4 linked regions of the Arabidopsis thaliana genome follow. The protein of the gene in region 2 interacts with the protein of the main gene of each other region in a pairwise test. Each region holds a gene or a part of one and is shown on either strand. Other genes may lie near its edges. The genes, in order: CAK4, CYC3B, ETG1 and CDKD1;3.

The links.
Region 1: the proteins of CYC3B (region 2) and CAK4 interact in a two-hybrid assay, tested with the Arabidopsis thaliana proteins (one large-scale study listed by BioGRID).
Region 3: the proteins of CYC3B (region 2) and ETG1 interact in a two-hybrid assay, tested with the Arabidopsis thaliana proteins (one large-scale study listed by BioGRID).
Region 4: the proteins of CYC3B (region 2) and CDKD1;3 interact in a protein complementation assay, tested with the Arabidopsis thaliana proteins (one large-scale study listed by BioGRID).

What each region holds. Positions count from the first base shown.
Region 1 is NC_003070.9:24,892,608-24,897,778, forward strand, and holds CAK4 (CDK-activating kinase 4), read left to right. Parts: upstream 1-1,915; 5' UTR 1,916-2,167; coding exon 2,168-2,269; intron 2,270-2,355; coding exon 2,356-2,654; intron 2,655-2,729; coding exon 2,730-2,838; intron 2,839-3,720; coding exon 3,721-3,846; intron 3,847-3,921; coding exon 3,922-4,157; intron 4,158-4,233; coding exon 4,234-4,408; 3' UTR 4,409-4,652; downstream 4,653-5,171. Other genes in the region: SGA2 (ASF1 like histone chaperone), read left to right, coding at 1-87, 387-502, 576-941.
Region 2 is NC_003076.8:3,600,975-3,607,215, reverse strand, and holds CYC3B (mitotic-like cyclin 3B from Arabidopsi), read left to right. Parts: upstream 1-1,865; 5' UTR 1,866-2,051; intron 2,052-2,712; 5' UTR 2,713-2,749; coding exon 2,750-2,905; intron 2,906-2,988; coding exon 2,989-3,075; intron 3,076-3,188; coding exon 3,189-3,375; intron 3,376-3,601; coding exon 3,602-3,723; intron 3,724-3,845; coding exon 3,846-3,938; intron 3,939-4,105; coding exon 4,106-4,239; intron 4,240-4,407; coding exon 4,408-4,483; intron 4,484-4,572; coding exon 4,573-4,649; intron 4,650-4,745; coding exon 4,746-4,779; intron 4,780-4,872; coding exon 4,873-5,022; coding exon of another isoform or gene 5,023-5,111; coding exon 5,112-5,246; intron 5,247-5,345; coding exon 5,346-5,405; 3' UTR 5,406-5,703; downstream 5,704-6,241. Other genes in the region: AT5G11310 (Pentatricopeptide repeat (PPR) superfamily protein), read right to left, coding at 1-56, 168-726.
Region 3 is NC_003071.7:16,932,708-16,938,790, forward strand, and holds ETG1 (E2F target protein 1 (ETG1)), read left to right. Parts: upstream 1-1,913; 5' UTR 1,914-2,219; coding exon 2,220-2,387; intron 2,388-2,635; coding exon 2,636-2,749; intron 2,750-2,837; coding exon 2,838-2,945; intron 2,946-3,033; coding exon 3,034-3,165; intron 3,166-3,269; coding exon 3,270-3,311; intron 3,312-3,497; coding exon 3,498-3,599; intron 3,600-3,700; coding exon 3,701-3,937; intron 3,938-4,027; coding exon 4,028-4,144; intron 4,145-4,234; coding exon 4,235-4,437; intron 4,438-4,526; coding exon 4,527-4,662; intron 4,663-4,730; coding exon 4,731-4,958; intron 4,959-5,068; coding exon 5,069-5,136; intron 5,137-5,211; coding exon 5,212-5,326; 3' UTR 5,327-5,565; downstream 5,566-6,083. Other genes in the region: KT2 (potassium transporter 2), read left to right, coding at 4-56, 140-257, 360-614, 692-1,809; AT2G40560 (Protein kinase superfamily protein), read right to left, coding at 5,998-6,083. UniProt on the Arabidopsis thaliana protein: Associated component of the MCM complex that acts as a regulator of DNA replication. Binds to the MCM complex during late S phase and may act by promoting the disassembly of the MCM complex from chromatin. Required for sister chromatid cohesion.
Region 4 is NC_003070.9:6,206,346-6,211,284, forward strand, and holds CDKD1;3 (cyclin-dependent kinase D1;3), read right to left. Parts: upstream 3,184-4,939; 5' UTR 2,955-3,183; coding exon 2,856-2,954; intron 2,711-2,855; coding exon 2,412-2,710; intron 2,326-2,411; coding exon 2,217-2,325; intron 2,117-2,216; exon of another isoform or gene 1,801-2,116; intron 1,788-1,800; coding exon 1,662-1,787; intron 1,509-1,661; coding exon 1,273-1,508; intron 1,194-1,272; coding exon 936-1,193; intron 832-935; coding exon 783-831; 3' UTR 526-782; downstream 1-525. Other genes in the region: AT1G18030 (Protein phosphatase 2C family protein), read left to right, coding at 1-22, 223-333; AT1G18050 (SWAP/surp RNA-binding domain protein), read right to left, coding at 3,617-3,897, 4,140-4,210, 4,921-4,939.

The sequences.
Region 1 (5,171 bases), on a different chromosome or scaffold from region 2:
ACGTCGCTGTATTGCATAATCCTGCTCCTTTTGTTAGCCCTTTTCAGTTCGAGATTTCTTACGAGTGTTTGAATTCTCTCAAAGACGGTAAAAATCTCCTCTTTCTCCTTCCCCTGAATTGTAATTCATCTCGACTTTATTTAGGTTTTAGTCTCTGCTGATTCTTATGGATTGTTTTCAACACCAATTTGTTGCTGCTGATTGTAATTGGAACATATTGTTACCTAATTGCTTTGTCAGAGTCATGCTCTAATGGTTTGTTTTCTAATTGATAATCTAGAGTCTTGTTGTCTATTAGTTGGATTTATCTATGCACAAGTTCTTGGTTAACATTGTTATAGGGTGAGGATAACTTAGATAGACCCGTGCTTTTGCTTGTGGTACAGATTTGGAATGGAAGCTTATCTATGTAGGCTCAGCAGAAGATGAGACTTATGATCAACTTCTAGAGAGTGTGCTTGTAGGGCCTGTTAATGTTGGCAACTACCGCTTTGTATTTCAGGTAACATATGCACTACTACCTCTTCCAAGCACCAACAAAGTCTTGGTCTAACTCTCTATTACTACTGTTACAGGCTGATCCTCCGGATCCATCAAAGATTCAGGAGGAAGACATCATCGGTGTTACTGTGCTATTGTTGACATGTTCTTACATGGGTCAAGAGTTCTTGAGAGTTGGATATTACGTGAACAATGATTATGAGGATGAGCAACTCAAGGAAGAGCCTCCAACTAAGGTTTTGATTGATAAAGTTCAGAGGAACATACTTTCCGACAAACCTAGAGTTACTAAATTTCCTATAGATTTTCATCCAGAAGAAGAGCAGACTGCTGCTACTGCCGCTCCTCCTGAACAATCTGATGAACAACAACCTAATGTCAATGGTGAAGCTCAGGTTTTACCTGATCAGTCAGTAGAACCAAAACCTGAGGAATCATGATCCTTATACCAAGTCTAGTTGAAGAAAAGTGGATGAGAATTGAGAACTATTGTCTCCACAGATGTTGCGCTTTGCTTTTCTGTCTTTCAAAAGCATTATATGCTGTTTGTTGTACTTAATTCTAGAGGCTTTAGGGAAGTGATTCTTGACATTTTTGTATGTTTATGTTTTGGGCAAAGGTTTTTTAAATCGAAGCAAAGCCAACAGTTGCCAAACAAGATTCTGAGTTCTGATGGTTGGAATTTGGTAATAGGTGTAGAATAACTTCCCTAGATTTTCTCAAGGTACAAAGCGACATTTGATCTTCATCATTTGTTGAAAAAAGTGCCGTTAAATGGTCATAGTTAGCATTGATGATGATGATTATCATCATCATCAACCATAATTCTTTCACCAAAAAAACATGAGTCCGTGATTTTTTTAGGACCGTTTCACAGTTGTTCTGCCAAAAATATGAGTCCGCATTTATTCACCAAAAAAAAAAAAAAAAAAAAAGTAGTACACATTACAATTTCTCGCCTAACGATTTTACTCTGTGGTAAACCGAAAGATAGTTAAAAACGGCTCCATTTCGATTACTTTGAAAAAAAAAAAATGTTTGTTTTGTTAAAAGAAAATATCTTTTAAAATATTAAAAAATATTTTATTCAAACTTTTATTAATACAGATCTAATTACTAAACTCAATAACATTATAAAAGCCGTGTTCGGCTAAGCCCAGTAAGCCCTATATGTTTTGAATAAATACGATATTTTATAATAAACAGATTGTTGTTTTTAAATACCTAATAATACATAATATATTCCTATACTTGACAATAACGAATAAGAATTATATTACCTATTATTTTGGATTTCGTAAAATTATTTTATATTTTTTTTAGGTAAATGGTAAATTTGTAAAAAATAGCTACTTTGATATTTATATTGTGTATTATTTTCTACTCGATAAGATTAATCATCAATAGTTCGAGGTGGAGGGTTAAATTATCTAGGGTCTGATGATCATGTAGAATCACTTCCTGCAAACAAATCACGAGTGTTAGCATATTTATGCTATCCACAGTATCATATGGCTGTTTCTGATTATTTCATAAATATAAGGTTCGTTTCATAAAACACAAAATCTTACGGGTATAAAATTGAAACCAAAGAATTCAATTTCTTAAAAGTGTTTCACTAGGAGCCCTCGTACTTCCTCGAAGTGTACCGGAGAATCTAAACCCAATGTCGAAATCCGGCGATAATCAACCAGTTGATAGATACCTCCGCCGTCAAATCCTCGGAGAAGGAACATACGGTGTCGTTTACAAAGCCACCGACACAAAGGTAAAATCAAAAACCCTTCCCGATTTCGTTTTCAATTTCATCAAGATTTTCAAACTCAACAATCTTCGATTTTGTGATTTCCTTAGACTGGGAAAACTGTAGCAGTGAAGAAGATAAGATTAGGAAACCAAAAGGAAGGAGTAAATTTCACAGCTTTAAGAGAAATCAAGCTACTAAAAGAGCTGAATCATCCACATATCGTTGAACTCATTGATGCTTTCCCTCACGATGGAAGTTTGCATCTAGTTTTTGAGTATATGCAAACAGATTTAGAAGCAGTGATTCGTGATCGTAATATCTTTTTATCTCCTGGTGATATTAAGTCTTATATGTTGATGACTTTGAAGGGTTTAGCTTATTGTCATAAGAAATGGGTTCTTCACAGGTAAGAAGTTATGCTTAGGTTTATAAAGATTTGATTTTGATTGTGTTGATGGTTTGTTTTTGGTGTGGTTGTTAGGGATATGAAGCCGAATAATTTGTTGATTGGAGAGAATGGTTTGTTGAAGTTGGCTGATTTTGGTTTGGCGAGGTTGTTTGGGAGTCCGAATCGGAGGTTTACTCATCAGGTATTGATGCTATGATTGATACGGTTTTGAGCTTGGTAGCTAGGTTAGTGTAGTTCTTGATGATCTTATTGGATTTATTGGTTAGGTATTTATATAGTTATTGATATTTATGGTTGCATTGGTAGCTAGATTAGTCTGGAGTTTGTAGTAAATATCTTGGTACTTCTTCTTGATGATCTATTTTGAATTTTATGCTCAAAATGAAGAGTCGGTACAGAGTATTGAGAAGATATCATACTTTATGTGTGTTTGGTTTTGGTGAGGTGAAAGATTGTATTGACATTTTTTTACCCTAGAAGATTCTGAGATTGATTAGTTATGAAGAAATCTCTTCTATTTTTTGTTTGAATTGACAGGTAGATTAGTCTTGTTCTTGATGATCTATTGGTTTTTTTTTGCTGGGACAAACTAAGAGTATATATAGTGCATTGAGAAGACATACTATGTTTTTAATTCGAATGCTTGCATACCTATGTTATTGGTTTCGGTTGGTGATTACAAGTTTAAGTTTCCGGATAGCATTTTGTTGATTACGGTCATATTAACATTTTGACTCAAGAAGATTCTGCAATTGATTAGTTCTGTAGAAGTCTCTTTTTGCTGGATATGGAAAAATTGATACAGAGTATTAAGAAGACATCATACGGTTTTAATTTTGATTCTTGCATACCTGTGTTTTTCGATTTTGGTGAGATGAGAGATTGATGGTTCAAAGTCACCAGATACAGTTTTGTTACTTACGGATGTATTAACATTGTTACTTTAGAAAGATTCTGAGATTTATTGGTTGTGTAACTTGTGTAGATATCTCATTTGGTTAGCTATTTGTATCTGCTTGTGGAAGATTCGTTAAGTTTAAATTGGTTATACTTATTCACACAGGTATTTGCTACATGGTACAGAGCGCCTGAGTTACTGTTTGGGAGTCGACAGTATGGAGCAGGAGTTGATGTTTGGGCTGCAGGCTGTATTTTTGCTGAGTTACTACTTCGTAGACCATTTCTTCCGGTAATGCTCTATACCCTTCGTACTTCATGTTTAAAAAGTCTGTAGTTCTCTAAACATTTCCTATACTTTCTTCAGGGTTCTACTGAGATTGATCAACTTGGAAAGATCTTTCAAGCGTTTGGTACTCCAGTACCTTCCCAATGGTCTGACATGATCTATCTCCCAGACTACATGGAATTCTCCTATACACCCGCTCCACCATTACGTACCATTTTCCCTATGGCAAGTGATGACGCTTTGGATCTTCTAGCAAAAATGTTCATCTACGACCCACGTCAAAGGATCACAATACAACAAGCTTTAGACCACAGGTATACTCTTGAAAAAGAAACCCACGGGACAAAAATTCTGTTTCATCACTCTGATTATCATTGGTTTTTTCATCAGGTATTTCTCGTCTTCTCCATCACCAACTGAGCCAGGGAAGCTTCAGATTCCAGCTTCCAAAGGAGACGCACTCGAACCAAAGGCCTCCGAGCAAAACCAACATGGAAATAGCCCAGCGGTACTGTCTCCTCCTGGTAAAATGAGGAGAGTGATGGGTCCTGAAGGATTCACTTGAGAAGATGATGTTTCATTTCTTTTGGAAAATATCAATGGATATGCCCAGAAGATTTCAAAATTAGATTTTTACCATTGATAATTCAATATTAGTTAACTATCAAAGAGAAAAAATTTAAAGCCATAAATGTCCTTCTTAGTTCTTACTTTGTTTAATTTACCAAATATGTCATGTATCAACTATTGTTATAATTTCACTATATATCAACTATCTTACCATATTAATATAAATATTATTCAGATATTTAATATGTTAGCACGTTATATTCAGTATAACATGTTATTATAAAGTTAAATTGATTATTTCATATTAATTTGTATGATATGGTAAATGGTTTAATACGATATATAAAAATTTATCGTGATACTATACTAGTTAACATATTAATCAAATAGTTATATATATTTAGCACGATACTATACTAGTTAACATGTTAATCAAATAGTTATCCACATAAATCATAAATATTTTATGCAATCCAATGATAAATACGACAGTGTCGTAAATTTCGGATGAATAGTGTCTTCAGGCAGTTGATGAACAGTATCATGTCTAAAATATCCGGTAATAAATAGTGTTTTGAGACAATGACATATTTAGTAAATTAAACAAAATGAAAAAGGAAATTTATGATTTTAATTTTTTTCTCTTTCATACTTACCTAATATTAAACTATCTATAATAGATATCTAATTTTCAAGTCTTCCAGGCATATACATTAATATAGCTCTTTCCTTTTTTCCTTTCCTTGACTATAATCACT
Region 2 (6,241 bases):
AACCGGTTCATAACTTCTAGCGAATTCAAAAGCTCGTATAGCTTGTTGCACCATACCTACAAGCAAATTGGAAAAACTATATTAAAGTCAAAAGCTTTATGCTTCTATTACTCTAAGCTAGCTCTTTGTATCAGCAATATTGATGAAGCTACAAGAAATCTGCATACCAGCACGAGCATACCGTCTGATCAAAACGATGAACGTATCTGCAGAAACCAAATTCGATCCTTCATCGCTTCTCACTCGATCAAAAACCAACGACCAAGCAATTTCAAATTCACGAGCTTTACATAGAGAATTGACAACAGAATCGAAAAGTGAAGGAGAAAGTGTAAACCCAGGTTTCATCTCCGCCCATTTGAACACTGAGTGAAGCAACATCGGCGATGAACTTAACCGATCGAACAACGCGTGAACCAACTCAACACTCGGTTCGATTCCGGTTTCATCTAAAGCTGACTCGAGACTCGAACCGGGAACAACATCAGTGTTCTCGAGAAGATTCGATATAGTAGAGAGATCGGTTTTCGAGACGGTGTTTTGTTGCGGTGGAGTACATGTAGAATCGGGTACGGCGGGTGATTGTATCCGTTGGATGAGAGGCTCGACGGGAATGAGCGGGGATGAACGGCGAGATGATGATAACAATCTATGAAGAAAGAAGTTGCGGTGAGGATTAGGGTTTAAGAGGAGGTTGCGGCGGAAGGCGGTGAACAGAGAGTTCATTTTCTGCCGCCGTTTATTAGAATTAAGTGTCCGCCGAGAAAATTAGGACACTCCGATTACGCGCCATTTGGGCTTTTGTTTGTTAACTGAAAATATCGATCAACATGGCCCATTATTTTAAAATGAAGTTACATATAGAATATTTGATATATATCCTCATACAACTTAGAAATTGTCTTTCTAGTCCTTCTCCACACGTATTTAATTTGTTTTTTATAAAGATGTATATACAATTTATCATTTATTTTTTTGGATAATTTACAATTTATTATTTTGCAAGTAAGAATCCGTGTATGCGTGTGATTCGTATATGTCCAAATACATATAATTAATGTTGTTAAATTGGTAGAAACGCCTTTTTGACTAATGTTTGAATTTCTATATGTGAATAAATATCTTTCGAAATAATTGTGAGAATGCAAGGCAATGGATGTGGTTATTTTCTCCCTCCATTTCCTTTTCAAATTTATTTTATCCCTTTAAAGAAATAAACATATAAATATTATTGACCAAATATATTAAATTGATTTTAAGGTAAAATAGTTGGAAAATATGTGTATAATTAGAAAAATGTCAAAAATTTATAATTGATCTGAACTCGAGCACTTGTTGATGTGTATTTGGATCGTATTTTCCAGATACATGAATTTTAAATTAACATCTTTTAATTTGATTAAGTAAATCAACGATTAAAAACGTGAATGATGGTAGATACATTGCGGTGATAATATCGTACAGAATCGTTTAATGTAAATATAATGTCTATTAATGTATTTTCGTTTCCAAATTAGAAATTACTGTAATTTACGTAAGGTAAATATATTTTTTGTTTTCAAAATAATAGTCATTACCATTTTATGTTTGTCGGAAATTTCTCGACCAATAATTTGTCTATCTATCGAAGTAGTGTAGTTCTTAAAAAACAAACAAATTACCATAACATATAAACTTTTTTTTGTTAATTGACAGCTCCAACATATGTGTAGTAATAAAAGACAGTTGCACTATTCCTTGTATAGTAACTTGGACCAAATTATAGAAATCATTCTTACAATTTTTTACCAAAGAAATTGAAGATTTTTCCAAAAAAAGCAAAGAAAGATTTTTTAAATTCCGATTTTTTTTTTTTGTTATATCCAAAAAAATCCGAATTTCAAACAGTACCTTTTTCAGTCAGTCGCTTCCCCCGCTCCTCTCCGCTCTCTCCCCCACCTACACATATTTCAACACTCTCTCTCTCTCTGGAGCGTTCTCTTCTCTCCTTGAGCTTCTCTTACCGCCATTAGAGCTCCTTCACAAACTCATAAACCTATTTGTTGAGCCAGGTATCATCATCACCTCTCGTCTGCTCACAATTTCCTGTTTGATTACCGATTCTCTGAATCGTAGCTTGTTGCTCTGCGTTTTGATCGATCGGAGCTAATAGTAGTTTGGATTTTAGTCTAATCGATCTCTCTAGCGAATGTTTTTTGGTCTTCGATTGAGATGATCGATTCCTCTTTGTTGTTTCCGCTTGTATTTGGTTTCTGCGTATTTGTTCTTCAAGCATGGCTAATCACTGGGAAATTGAAATTGTTGAGATCGTTCTTATCTGTTTGACTGGATTTTATGAAACGTGTGTGTACTCTATGGCTCATTGTTTGTTTAAGTAATCGGTCTTTTAAAGGATTTTTGCTATGAAGAACAATGCTTAATTCGATTTGGAAATGACTAGCTTGAAAATTGGATCTATCGATGCAGATTAATGTGAAGGAAACATAGAAACTAGTTGTGATAAGCTGGGTTGCTTGTTTAAGCTGACATTTACTCAATAGTTAGAATCGTGTGGAATTGAGATCTGTGGCTAAATTTGAGTATGAAGAAATCGTTTTAATTGCCACTATATGCTTGTTTCTTCCTGAAATTTATGCTGCATTTGAACATTGCTTGATCTTTTTGATGGAGGCAAGGATAGACATTTGATTATGAACTGTTGTTGTTCTGCAGGCTTGGCTTAACCACTGGCCTTTTTCCAGACTAAATTATGTATTGCTCTTCTTCGATGCATCCAAATGCAAACAAAGAAAATATCTCTACTTCAGATGTACAGGAGAGTTTTGTACGAATAACGAGATCACGAGCTAAAAAAGCCATGGGAAGAGGAGTATCAATACCTCCAACAAAACCTTCTTTTAAACAGGTACTGAAACATGTTCTTATAGAAAGTCATGAATTTCAAGAGCTGATGCTAAACTCTCTAATTTCCTGCCTCTGGTTTATCAGCAAAAGAGACGTGCAGTACTTAAGGATGTGAGTAATACCTCTGCAGATATTATTTATTCAGAACTTCGAAAGGGAGGCAACATCAAGGTAAAGATTTCAGATGATACGCTTTCATTGTCTTGGTTGGTTTATATCTTATGTTGGTAATATAGCCTTCAAACTTTCCCTTTGGGCTTATTACTGTTGACATCACGTTGCAGGCAAACAGAAAATGTCTAAAAGAGCCTAAAAAAGCAGCAAAGGAAGGTGCTAACAGTGCCATGGATATTCTGGTAGATATGCATACAGAAAAATCAAAATTAGCAGAAGATTTGTCCAAGATCAGGATGGCTGAAGCCCAAGATGTCTCTCTTTCAAACTTTAAAGATGAAGAAATTACTGAGCAACGTAAGAACTACAGTGTTCGTGAAAATAATGATAGTTACCACCTTCTCCTCATTTCCGAGGTCATGTTGATCACTCGCTAACTTTAAATCAAGCATTGGACTCCAGAATGCTGAAATTAGTTATTCCCATTAAATTTGTGTTGTCAAGGGTTGAAACAAGTGAACTCTATACCAACATGAATTTCTCAAACTTACTTAAGGTATGTATCTTATACTGGATTGTGCAGAAGAAGATGGATCAGGTGTCATGGAGTTACTTCAAGTTGTAGATATTGATTCCAACGTCGAAGATCCACAGTGTTGCAGCTTGTATGCTGCTGATATATATGACAACATACATGTTGCAGAGGTATTGAATTACATGATCCAAATATTTGCTTTACATCTTTCCACTGTTAACTTCTTGTAACTAATCTCAATATAACTACTTATATGAAGACTGTTGGAGTTATAACCTCTCTTTTCTTGCAGCTTCAACAACGACCCTTGGCTAATTATATGGAGCTTGTGCAGCGAGATATCGACCCAGACATGAGAAAGATTCTGATTGACTGGCTTGTAGAAGTTAGTTACCTTCAAACTTAGCTCATATATATAAATAACGGCATCATCTTATTATGTTTCTTATTGAATAGGACACTAAACCTTACTATACATAGCTTTCTTACAAAAATTAGAGCAAAAACTGAGAGTACTTTTGAGTAAAATAGTGAAGTGCGTGGTATTTTCAGGTTTCTGACGACTACAAGCTGGTTCCAGATACGCTTTACCTTACAGTGAATCTTATCGACCGGTTTCTGTCCAACAGTTACATTGAAAGGCAAAGACTCCAGCTCCTTGGTGTCTCTTGCATGCTTATAGCTTCGTAAGTCCCTACTTTGTTGTTTGTGTGTGTTTGTCAATTTCAGGTTATAGCAATGAGAACAGCATTTCCATCACTGGGAGAGCGCGAACCTATATATATATGTATACTTGCTAAGTAGAGAAACAAGTAAGGCTTATCTTCCTTATACATTTTTGTTGAACCTTGTAGAAAATATGAAGAGCTTTCCGCACCAGGGGTGGAGGAGTTTTGCTTCATTACGGCCAACACATACACAAGACCAGAAGTAATTAACATTCAAATCACACATCTCTCGGTATCTTTAATGTGTACAGATTCTTGATGAAAATATATAAACTGGAATCTTTGTTTCAGGTGCTGAGCATGGAGATTCAAATTCTAAATTTTGTGCACTTTAGATTATCGGTTCCTACCACCAAAACATTTCTGAGGTAAATACTAAAGGGCAGAACTATGAATCATCATATCTTTCCAACTTTGTTTAAAAATAGTACCACTGAGTTTTCATCTTACCAATGTTTTTTCAGGCGGTTCATTAAAGCAGCTCAAGCTTCGTACAAGGTATGAAACCATGATCCATTTATCATCAACCCTCACTTCTACAGAAACTTGGAATCTGAATGTAGTGCGTTGTTTCTTATAATTATTTTGCAGGTGCCTTTCATTGAACTGGAGTATTTAGCAAACTATCTCGCCGAATTGACACTGGTGGAATATAGTTTCCTAAGGTTCCTGCCATCACTAATTGCTGCTTCAGCTGTTTTCCTAGCCCGATGGACACTCGACCAAACTGACCATCCTTGGGTCAGCTCATGTTTCTTGAATCTTGAAAAAGGTTGTTTTTGTGTTTGCCTCTTTTTTGTGCTGATAAAAAGAATGATGTTTGGTTATAGAACCCTACTCTGCAACACTACACCAGATATGAGGTAGCTGAGCTGAAGAACACAGTTCTCGCCATGGAGGACTTGCAGCTCAACACCAGTGGCTGTACTCTCGCTGCCACCCGTGAGAAATACAACCAACCAAAGGTACATTTCTCTACAAAACACCGTTAAATCAAACTACTGATTGTTGAAGAAAAGTGAATGAATGATTGAACTGGTTTTAATTCTGTATGACTTTGATAGTTTAAGAGCGTGGCAAAGCTGACATCTCCCAAACGAGTCACATCACTATTCTCAAGATGACACCAAGCAACATCGAAAACAGAGCCCAAGTCAGGTGATCAAAATACCTATTTTCAGACATTGGATGTTATGTCGTCTCTTTGCCAGTTTTGTCTGTCTGTAATTCTGTAGCTATTGTGTGGCGCCTTAATTGTAGGCCATTACTTGTCACACCACTTAGCTTTAAATAAATGTTATGGAATTTTTCTAATCGCATTGCTACAACTATTTACTATCCTGCGGGATTTTGTACCTAGGAGCACTTGGAAAACGAATACAAAAGTGTTAATTAATATAAATTTCACTGTTCATGGCTGGATTGTTATGTTGTTTGTTCTGATTTCGCAATGCTATATTCATATGGAAACATTTCCATCTACAATTAACGTCTCCCGTGTAACATTTGGTATCCCCTTTTTACTGATTCCTCCATGCTTGATTTTATTCGTCAAATTAGTCTTCAGGTATACTTCAATGTATGTATTTCCATGGCTTGAAGTTCTTCAATCTTCCACAAATTCAATCAAATCCTAAAATTCGAAGATACGCCAACACTTTTCCTCCTTAAAAACTCTCAACTATACCCACTTCAGTTCCTTAAGTTGAGTTATCACAGCTACAGTTCCTTATATAGTCCTCCACTAAACAAACAAGAAATCCCTAAGTCTGTAGCTCGACTTAAAACCGCTTCAGATACTTTTCTCAAAGTCGACTTACCTATAATTTTCTGTATGGCAATAGCCTCTACCGCCGTGATTGCGCACGAGATTCATTTACAAAGATCAGGACGCCTAAACCGGTAACTTCTCACTATAAAATGGTAAAAACAGTGTTATTGTTTACATGATCACTTATTC
Region 3 (6,083 bases), on a different chromosome or scaffold from region 2:
TAGGTGCTGAGGCCATGTTTGCTGATCTTGGTCACTTCAATTACGCAGCAATTCAGGTTAGTTTCTACTTTAGCTTGGATGATTTACTTATTGTTATATCGCCACAGGTTTCAATAAATCTTTGTTTTGTTTGCTGTAGATTGCGTTTACCTTCCTGGTTTATCCGGCTCTTATATTGGCATACATGGGGCAAGCTGCTTACTTATCCCGGCATCACCATTCTGCTCATGCAATTGGGTTTTACGTCTCTGTACCAAGTCAGTAATTTGCCTTACTTCAAGAACTCAATTTTTTTTTGGTGTTGATCATTGAAAACGTAATCTGATCTTTTGTTTATATAACTCCATGGTTTTGAACAGAATGTTTGCACTGGCCTGTGCTTGCTGTAGCAATTCTTGCTTCTGTTGTGGGAAGCCAAGCGATCATCAGTGGGACTTTCTCAATCATAAACCAGAGCCAGTCTCTCGGATGCTTCCCTCGAGTCAAAGTCATTCACACGTCCGATAAGATGCATGGTCAGATTTACATACCGGAGATTAACTGGATGCTCATGATTCTCTGCATCGCTGTTACTATCGGGTTTAGAGATGTCAAACACCTGGGAAATGCATCAGGTATGAGATTCTTTTATCAACTCAAGAATTTTGGATTCTTCGACTTTGAGATTATATTCCTTTGTGGTTGGTTGCAGGTTTGGCTGTAATGGCGGTTATGCTAGTGACAACATGTCTTACCTCATTAGTCATTGTTCTTTGCTGGCACAAGCCTCCAATTCTAGCGCTAGCGTTCCTTCTCTTTTTCGGTTCAATAGAACTTCTCTACTTCTCGGCCTCACTCACCAAATTTCGTGAAGGCGCTTGGCTTCCGATCCTCTTATCTCTAATATTCATGATCATCATGTTCGTTTGGCACTACACCACCATTAAGAAATACGAGTTTGATCTCCAGAATAAAGTCTCGCTTGAATGGCTTCTTGCATTGGGTCCAAGCCTCGGAATTTCTCGAGTTCCAGGTATCGGTTTAGTCTTCACGGATTTAACCTCTGGAATCCCCGCCAATTTCTCCCGGTTCGTCACCAACCTCCCTGCCTTCCACCGTGTTCTTGTCTTTGTCTGCGTGAAATCTGTCCCTGTCCCGTTCGTTCCACCTGCTGAGAGATACCTCGTGGGTCGTGTTGGTCCCGTTGACCACCGCTCTTACAGATGCATCGTTCGGTATGGATACCGTGACGTCCATCAAGACGTGGACTCATTCGAAACAGAGCTCGTAAGCAAGCTGGCGGATTTCATCCGTTACGATTGGCACAAAAGAACACAACAAGAAGACGACAACGCTCGTTCTGTCCAGTCCAACGAATCCTCAAGCGAGTCAAGACTAGCCGTGATCGGAACAGTAGCTTACGAGATCGAAGACAATCTCCAACCAGAGAGTGTCTCCATCGGATTCTCCACAGTCGAAAGCATGGAAGACGTCATACAAATGGCCGAACCAGCCCCAACCGCCACCATAAGACGGGTGAGGTTTGCGGTTGAGGAAAACAGTTACGAGGACGAAGGATCAACATCGTCAGCAGAAGCAGATGCGGAACTGAGAAGCGAGCTGAGGGATTTGCTGGCAGCGCAAGAAGCAGGAACTGCGTTTATATTGGGACATTCACATGTGAAAGCGAAACAAGGATCATCGGTGATGAAGAGATTAGCAGTTAATTTCGGTTATAATTTCTTGAGAAGGAACTGTAGAGGACCTGACGTGGCTCTTAAGGTTCCACCTGTTTCTCTTTTAGAAGTCGGCATGGTTTATGTTGTTTGACTTATGAAAAAACTAAATATATGAAAACCTAATTCCTCTGTTGTAAATTCGTCATGTTTAGCTTCATAGATCTCTGTTTCTGTGTTTGTGAGTCTGGGGTTTGACTTTTAACAAATCTTAAGACCAAGATGGTCAGAGGATCATATATGCCAAATGAATTAGTTTATTATACACATGAAACGACATCGTATGGAGAGGGGTCCAAAACGGTGCGTTGGAAGTTGGAGAATGGGCATGGATAATGGCGGGAATAACCTAGGAGATATGGCGGGAAAGGCCCAACTATACACACTTGACATTGCCCTTAATTCGTGTTTGAGCAAAGACTCAATCTTTCATCTCTAGATTCTTGGCGATTCTCGCTACATAGTACTTTGGTAAAGAGTGAAATCAAAGGTTGGTTTTGAGATATGGGAGGACCAGCTTACGATTGTCTGACCAACCCTTTAGGAGCCGTCCGATTCTCCTTCGTAAATGCTCTGTCTTCAGGCTACGATCCGGCTTCGTCTGTCGGAAAAGACTGGGGTGTCGTTGATTTGTTCCGTCACTACTTCTCCGACGAATCTGCTATCTCCCAGGTTTGCCCTAAAACCTTTACTCTGTTTCTATTTTTTTTTGGGTTTAGGGCAATTGAGTATGTTTTGATTAATTACTACCCAATTAGCATAATAGGTTGATTTTTTCGTGTACTTTGGCTCTGTTTCTAAGTAAATCAGCTTACTTTAGGTTTTAGTCTATCCATAGATTGGTTAATTTGGGTTTTTTCAAGGATCTGTTTTGAGATATTTTTCTTAATTAACCGATAGTGTTTTCTTTTGTCTACTAGGTTCCAATTCTTGATTCGTCAAGTATTAAGTGGGTGCAACCCAAGACTCTTGTTCGGTTTCGTGGAATGATACAGGACATGCTTGGGAATGAATTCTATGCTGGTGCTTACAAGGTAGGAATATGACTTTTGATGGTTTCTACTAAAGAAGAATTCAATCTTTATCTATCAGTAACTGTTTCTGTTTTTACGTTCTGTTTAGGATGATTCAACATGGAGAACAAACAAGTACAGTGATGTTTCACAGTTTCCTGAGGGTTCTTCCACTGAAATTCAAGTTTGGGAGCGTCGCTTGCTTTACTGTGTTCCAGTATGTTTTGTCTCATGCGGATCTTTCTTTTTTGTTGTTGGTCTCTCATATATGTTTAAACATAATAACACTTGATTGCAATGTTTAGGTTCCGGGAAAAAACCAGTGGACTGAATGTTCTTCACAAGAGCTAAAAAACCGGTTTTTGGATCTAACTGGCCAAAACAGGGAAAAGCGTGTGAGGGTGGATGAAGAAATGACTGATTCCATGGACTCCAGTGTAAGCAACTTAGGTTCTCATGTTTGCTTTATATGAAACTGATTTTGTTGTAGCAACATCTATTGGTGTTGTTTGTCAATAACTTATTTTAGCCACCATTGCAGACTTTAGAAGCTGGGCGTAATGGTTCTCCTTTTAAGAAAATGGTAAGGATCTCTAGTCTCTTAAGTCTTTCTTCAAAGTCTTTATGAGTCTAACACTATAAGCTACAAAGTTGTGGAAAAAACCATATATTATAAACTTTTCTTTACTGTTACTGGGAAGAATCATGAGACATTGAGATTTTGGCTGATGAAGAATTTCTGATTAATACTGTTTTTTATGTTCATCAGAAAGTGGGGGAAGCTACTTCATCAGCTTCAGAATCTCAGGTTCCACAAACTTCTGGTATTCCGCCTGCTACAAGTGCAGATTCTCTGCCTTGTCTTGTCAAGGTAAATATATGTTTACATTGTTCTTTATATTACCTGTTAACATGTGTATACAAAAGCAGCAAAGACTAGTCTGTTGACAAGATTCTTATGCGGCCACGCAGATCTATGATTCTCCAGAGTCAGATTTGAAGCTAAATGATGTGGTTGAATTTCTTGGAGTGTTGACCTTCGATCCAATTGTTATGATGGATACAGATACACTTGATGAAAACTCTGATGCTCTTTCTGAAGCTGAATCTGTTCAGATGCCCTCTGGAAAGGTCCCACGCCTCCATTGTCTTATCCATAGAAAGCTTGAAACACAGCATTTCCTGCATGGTTCTTCGTTATTACCAGAGGCAAGTATCATCGATTTAGAAAATATACCTCTCATACCTATTCGTGTTTTGAAATTTGTTTTAAATCTCTTGTTACTTTCCATTTAGCAGCCAAAATCCCCCCAAATATTCAAAGAGATAAGAGAGAGTTTGATGAAGTACCTTACCGGTCTACTTGGGAATGATCACATTGCCGCACAGTTCCTATTATTGCATCTCCTGTCAAAGGTAATTAGTTGAAAAAGGATCACTTGTTTTTATTCTCAGCTATTACTGCTACGGCCTTCTATATTCATATGTTTTTTTTCTCCTTTACAGGTGCATGGAAGAGTAGATAATGTTGCTGTTGGGAAGCTTTCTCTTAATCTCATACACCTTAATAAAGAAAGCATGTCTATCTTCGGTACCCAGCTCAGTGGTGCCCTCAAAAGCCTCCTACCGTTCACACAATCTATACCACTTACTATTGAGTATCTGAACACTGCCTCGTTCGGTCCCAAGAAAGACTATGGAATCAACAGGTAAGAATCCAGTTCTACGAAATCTTAACAATGGTTTTGAATCATTCTTCTCTTGAAAGACCTGCAATTATATTGTTTTTATGACTCAGATTGATGCCTGGAGTTCTACAAATTGCTGATGGTACGCACTTGATATTGGATGAAACAGAGTTGCAACCAGGCACCTTGAACTCTGTTGGAGTTGAGAATGCAAATCTGCTTAAAAACCTCTTGGAATGTCAGAAGGTAGGGCAACGTCATTATTCACTTTTAATCAGATTCAAATATGAATATGGAATCTGCTGCTATTTCAGGTTGAGTATGATTTCCAATATTACAAAATGGAAATGGCCACTGATGTTCAAATGCTCATATTCTCCGAGGGAAAGTCGAACATAATGCCCGCCGATTTGGTTCTACCTCTTCAACCTTCTCAAGTGAATTCATTGGAAGTCATCACACCAGAAACAGCTGAAACTTGGAGGTGCTACTTAGCTACTTGCAAATCATTATCACACTCCATTGGGCAAGAGTTGCAACAGGTATGTATATATCTATTGCATTAATGTTAGAATCTGCCAATCTGGTACTTCTAAAGAAATCCATTGTTTTCAGACTTTTGACTAATATTTTCTGCAAATTTTTGTTGCAGGTGGTGGAGAATGATTTGGTTGCAGCTAGACAAACAGATCGTAGTTTAGGCAGCCAAGACTTGAGCAGGTACAAAAGCCCTCCTTAGGGTTTATCCTTGTCAAATATGTGCAAAACTTACAATTATGTTGTTTGGTTCCACAGATTGTTGACAATGGCTCGTATGATGTCTGTGAGTTATGGTGAGACTACGCTTTCACTAGAGCACTGGCAAATGGTGTTGGAACTAGAAAGACTTAGAAAGGAGAGGCTCAAGTAAAACCACCGTAACGAACAAGATGTATTATGGTTTCGAGACTATTTGGATATTGTAATTTTCACTAAGTTATCTGAGTAAGAAGAACCATATCGTTTCATTTCCTATCTATTTATTAAGGTTCAACTTTTGAGCTATTGACTGGTAATGGAAAATGTTTGAGAAAGAAGAAAACTTGGAGACTTCAAACCCATTCCGGTTAATTTTCATCGTTGATCTGACATGGTAAATACTGAATAAAGCACATGCACACTGTGACACCTCTACTTTAAAAAGTACCAAATAGATAAACTGACTAGAAGATTATTTTCTTGTGATGCAAGTAAGAAACAAACTCAACCAATCGACCTTACTAAAGTATACTCTTCTATAAAATAAAGAAATTTCTTCTCCCCCGTATGTAAATTGAAATCACCAGATGGAAGTCTTGGTATAGAGATATATCGATCTGATAATCTTATCACGGAAGAAGACTTTGGTCTCGATTGCATATCTCTCACGTACGACTCTCGTTTGTATGAATAGAAAGAACAAAGACACACACAATTTAACGAGTTCCCAAGGTCAAACCGATCCTTGGTACATCTCGGCTAGGCTTTGCCATAGCAAATTCACTATCCAGTTTTTTTTTTCTTTTTTTTATACATATGTACACAAGAGAGATAGAGAGAGGATTAGGTCAAAAGAAGCTTCGAGAAACTTGGAATCAACGACCTAGATATCTCCTTGTTGTCTTCTGTTGTTGGCGATGGAAGTCCTT
Region 4 (4,939 bases), on a different chromosome or scaffold from region 2:
ATTTGTCCAGAAACTTTTGAAGGTAAATACCTACAGTTGTCAAAATCACTTTGTCCTCCATTTCACACTCTCTTTAACTACATAGAAAGAAGCTCAAAAAACAGATGTTTTTCGGTAGCCATGTGAGCAAAATGGCTTGTTAGAACCTTGTGCACACAAGTAAAGAGTGTCAAGGGAAATTAAATGTGAGAAACTAAGAGGCTAAGAACTATGATTTTGTAGGAGGGCTTGCATGTAAGCACGGTAAGTCGCCGTCTTGTGAAGGAAGCTGTGAAAGAACGTCGTTGCAAAGACAACTGCACAGCAATCGTGATAGTCTTCAAGCGGGTATGACTAAAGAAGAGCCTGACTGACATGTGGGCATCTGTTTTTCTGGCTCGTATGTGTTTTATAAACCTGTTGTTGGTATTTGGTAAAATCTTTTTGAGCTGTCAATGGATCAATTAAATTCCTGGGGCCACCATCGAAAGAAAAATGAGTTTGAAGATTAAACAGAGCTCTCTTTGTACCGCAAAGAATTCTAGAAGCAAAAAGTAGAAAGCTTTATAATCATAGACTTCATAGTACAGTATGATCAGTTTACAATGAATAAAAAGCCTATGGGACAACAAAATATTATCATTGTGAATCTAAGGTCCCTCTGGTTTGTAATCAAGCTAAATATGGAAAAGAATAAATCGCCAGATTACACAAGCAGCAGTAAATTGACAACTTAACAATGGTGTGGTTTCACCAGAACATGAAAATGGAGAAGCTAAGAGAAGAGTGCATAACCAACAGTCTTACTGGAACTCAAGATCGAGTTTCCTCTTCAGATGAGATCTATCAGCACTACAAATTGAACAAGAAGAAGTCATTAAAACACAATCAATCTTGAGGCTGTAATGACAAATGAGATTAATATGCAGTGAGGGAGAAACTGTCTTGTTTTTTACCTGGTGATTGTTGGCCTGTTTGGAGGTCGCTCAGCGAGGATGGTAAAATCTAATGACATGGGTGCTTGTTGATCCTTGTCAACATGAGACTTCAAACTATCAACCCTCCCACGCTCAGGCATCACTCTTCTAAGCTTACGTGGTGGTGATTGCACTGTAATGGCCTCATGTTTACCGTAAGATGATTTACCATCCTGCTTAGGAACGGGCTTTGGGAGCTTAGCCGGGTCAGTAGGAGCAGGTGCAGAAGTGAAGTACCTGAAATAATGAAAACAAAGGTGTGAGAGCAGAACGCTAGATATACTTTGCCTATAAACAGATGGTGAACATTAGGCACCTGTGTTCTAGAGCCTGCTTAATGGAAATTCTAGCCTTTGGGTCATAGGTAAACATTTTGGACAACAAGTCGAGAGCATCATCACTAACTGCTGGGAATAAAGAACGTAGAGACGGTGCAGGGACAAATTGATACTCTACATAATCTGGAAGCTTTGTTAAATCCGGCCACTGATCTGCTTTTGGTGTCCCAAAAGCAGCAAATATTTTGCTTAATTGATCAATATCACTGTTTCCCTGCAACGGCAAAAATAGAATAAGTAAACATACCGAGAAAATTGATAATGAATATGTAATTATGTAGTCTGAGAGTGAGTATAACATCCAAAGAGATGACAATTGGACTAAAGTTTTAATGGTAGCCATTAGATTTGAGTAAGATTATTTAACCTGAAGAAATGGTCTGCGTAGTAGAAGTTCGGCGAATATGCAGGCAACGGCCCAAACATCAACTGCAGCACCATATTGTTTTGCACCAAACAAAAGTTCTGGTGCTCTGTACCATCTAGCAAACACCTGTGCATTATCAGATATATCAAGATATGAAGATAATATAACAACTAGAAACAAGAGAAAATAAGTTGCATTGCGCATTTGGAAACAGAGCTCACATGGATTCTATTGTAATTTTGGGTGTTCAAAGGGAAACAAAGAAGGCAGAAATAGCTCAGGTCAAAAATCCGGTTAACAGCAAAACTTTTAGTACAGATATGAGATAGCTACTGCACCATCATTTAATATGAGTTGAGACTGTTTAATACATGTTACATTTAGTATACAACTAGAGAAATGAAAAGACATGAGACATCTAATCTTCCTCATCCCTAGACATAACTACTGATAAGAACTACTTAAAACTTTCTTATCAATATTTCATATGAGTTAGTCGATCAATTTGGTTATATTACAGCAATAGATAAAATGGCAATGCGGCAAAAGGCATACCTGGTGGGTAAACTTACGATTTGGACTACCAAATATACGTGCTAAGCCAAAATCTGCAAGCTTAAGCTGTCCATCAACTCCTATTAACAAGTTATTTGGCTTCATATCCCTGAACTCAAGCCACACATAATCAGTGCCCAAACCAAGCAACATTACAGAGACAATAAGCAAGTTGTTAAGGATAAACAAATGTACCTGTGCAAAACCCATTTATCGTGGCAATAAGCAAGTCCTTTAAATGTCATTAGGAGGTAGGATTTAATGTCGGCGGGTGAGAGGAAAATGTTAGAATCGCGAATAACTGCTTCGAGGTCAGTCTCCATGAACTCAAAGACAAGATGCAAGTTTTCCTTGTGAGGAAATGCATCAATGAGCAGAATAATATGAGGATGCTTTAGCTCTTTGAGCATTTTGATTTCTCTGAGAGCTGTAATATTTACACCTTCTCTTTGTTTACCAAGCCTTATCTTCTTAATTGCTACAGTTTGTTCCGTCTGCAAAATTACACCCCACAATTACTTCCCCTTGATCCAACAAAAACTTCAATCAAAATCCGGAACCAAAAAAGAAGGAGAAATTAGGAATTGCCGACAGATCCTAAACCCTAATTTTGCAAACAAAAATCAGCAAAGATATGACCTTAGTATCAGTGGCTTTGAAGACGACTCCATAGGTACCTTGCCCAAGAACCTCTTGCTTGAGATACCTATCAGCAACTTTCTTTGGCTGCTCCGGCATTTTCGGGTTTTTCAGAACCCACTCAATAATCGCGCCTCTCTCTTTCTTCTTAATTCACGTCGCTAGAATTCGATTGCTTTCCGATTTTTATTCTAAATTGAGTAAAATCGACGATGAGGAAGATACCGGGAAAATTTAGGGTTTCAGCTTTGAGAGCTCCGGCTCCGGAGAAAAAGTAGCCGTTGGCGCGTTTGCAGACGCAATCGGCTAATCGAGGGAAACAACAAATAAAGAGAAACGCCCAATTATTTACTTTTCTAGTTTTTTATACATTTAATATCCAAACATTTTCGATTTATAAAAGAGAAAAATATTATTTAATATCTAAACTTTTAAACAATAGCTAAATTAATCGTGAATTTTTGATTTTTTGAAATGACTGTTTTATACCTCAACAAATTTAACCTATAACCTATAAAGCATATTAGCAATCCACGTGTTTTTGCTAGAGTTTAGCTGATTTCTTAAGAGCTATCGTTGCTGTTTCTCGTCCATATCCCCTTCCTTGATAGTTTCAAGCTCTTTGCCAGTAATCCATTCAGGGAGTATAGCTGCATACTTGCGAGGTGGTGGAGGCGGATACTTCATTGTCGGCTTCTGGTCACTAGCAAAGCCCGGAGGAGGTTTTGGAATCTGAAGCGGTGGTTCCCTTACCCTCACCCTCAATGGAACATCAGGTATCCCATAATCACTAAGTTTGATCTCAGGTCCCTCATGTAATTCTGCGCACGGTATCCAGCAAGCTTTTTCTGGTAATAAGCATGATAACGATCTGAGCTCCAGAAGAAGGAGTACTTTGGGTTTCCCGCATAGCTTGTCATCATCTTTCTCTCCATCTCAGGCCCCTCCATGAAAACCAAACGGGCTGAGCTATCCGCATAATATCTAGTCCTCGGAGGTACATCTGCCGGAGTTCGATTGCAAATCACTCGACATCTCTTTTCTATACAAAGAGAAACACAAAATAATAGATAAAGTTAACCCTTGATGACAAGAGATGCAAAGAGATCGATTGAATGTGTTGATTATCACTTGACCCTGAGCTCTATATGACTATATTTATACAAGGGGTAAACTACCAAGAAAACGAATTATCTTCCTAAACGTAAATATAAGAAAAGGCAAAGATACATATCCAAGGACTACTTAGGGTTTCGGAGAGAGATAACAAGTACCGTACCTCACCCACCGGAAAGTAACAGCCACGCCGCGAGAGCCACAGTGACGTCGTGAACGAACGAACTCTAGTTCTGAAGCTTGGAAATTGACAATTGCAAATCAACGGAGAATATCCTCTTAGAACAAATCCACGGAGCCCTATGCGTAGCCTAGCACTTATAGACGAGAAACTTGTGCTCCAGGTTTTATAATGGGCCTCTGTTATTCGGGCTTATAACTTCGGGCCATATTTACTTAATTTGAAGTTAAATTCGGTTTTGGGTCGAGATTTTGGGTTTTAGTTGTTTTTTGTTGTGAGAGACGTCGTTTTCCATTTTCACCATACATTATCTACTTAACCGGTAAGAACCAAATCATACATACATGAACTGTTATGTTATAAAACCATTCTGTTTAACATCAGAACATTACGGAAAAACGGTCTATTTCCCCATGGGAACTATCGCATCTGGCTAGATGAAGCCCGATCTTTGACCTCTTGCTATTTACCCATGAAATGAAAGTTAAACGTCTATTTCCCCACCAATTAAAAGTTCAAGAGCTTAATGTCCCCGAATCGTGGTTACTTCGGTTTGATACGTAAACCCGAGACGAAACCATATTATCGGTCAAAACCAAACCAAAAAAACCCGGATTCGTTTTTAAAACCCGATCCATTGTCGAATCCCAAATCCAAAATCTAAAACCCCAAACTCAAAACTCAAGAACCCTAAATCGATTCCCAATTTTTTTATTTCCAGTTGAAAGATGAGCAATCTGTCATCAAGTTCGTCGGGATCTACAGGACCTCGTGGTCGAGGAAGAGT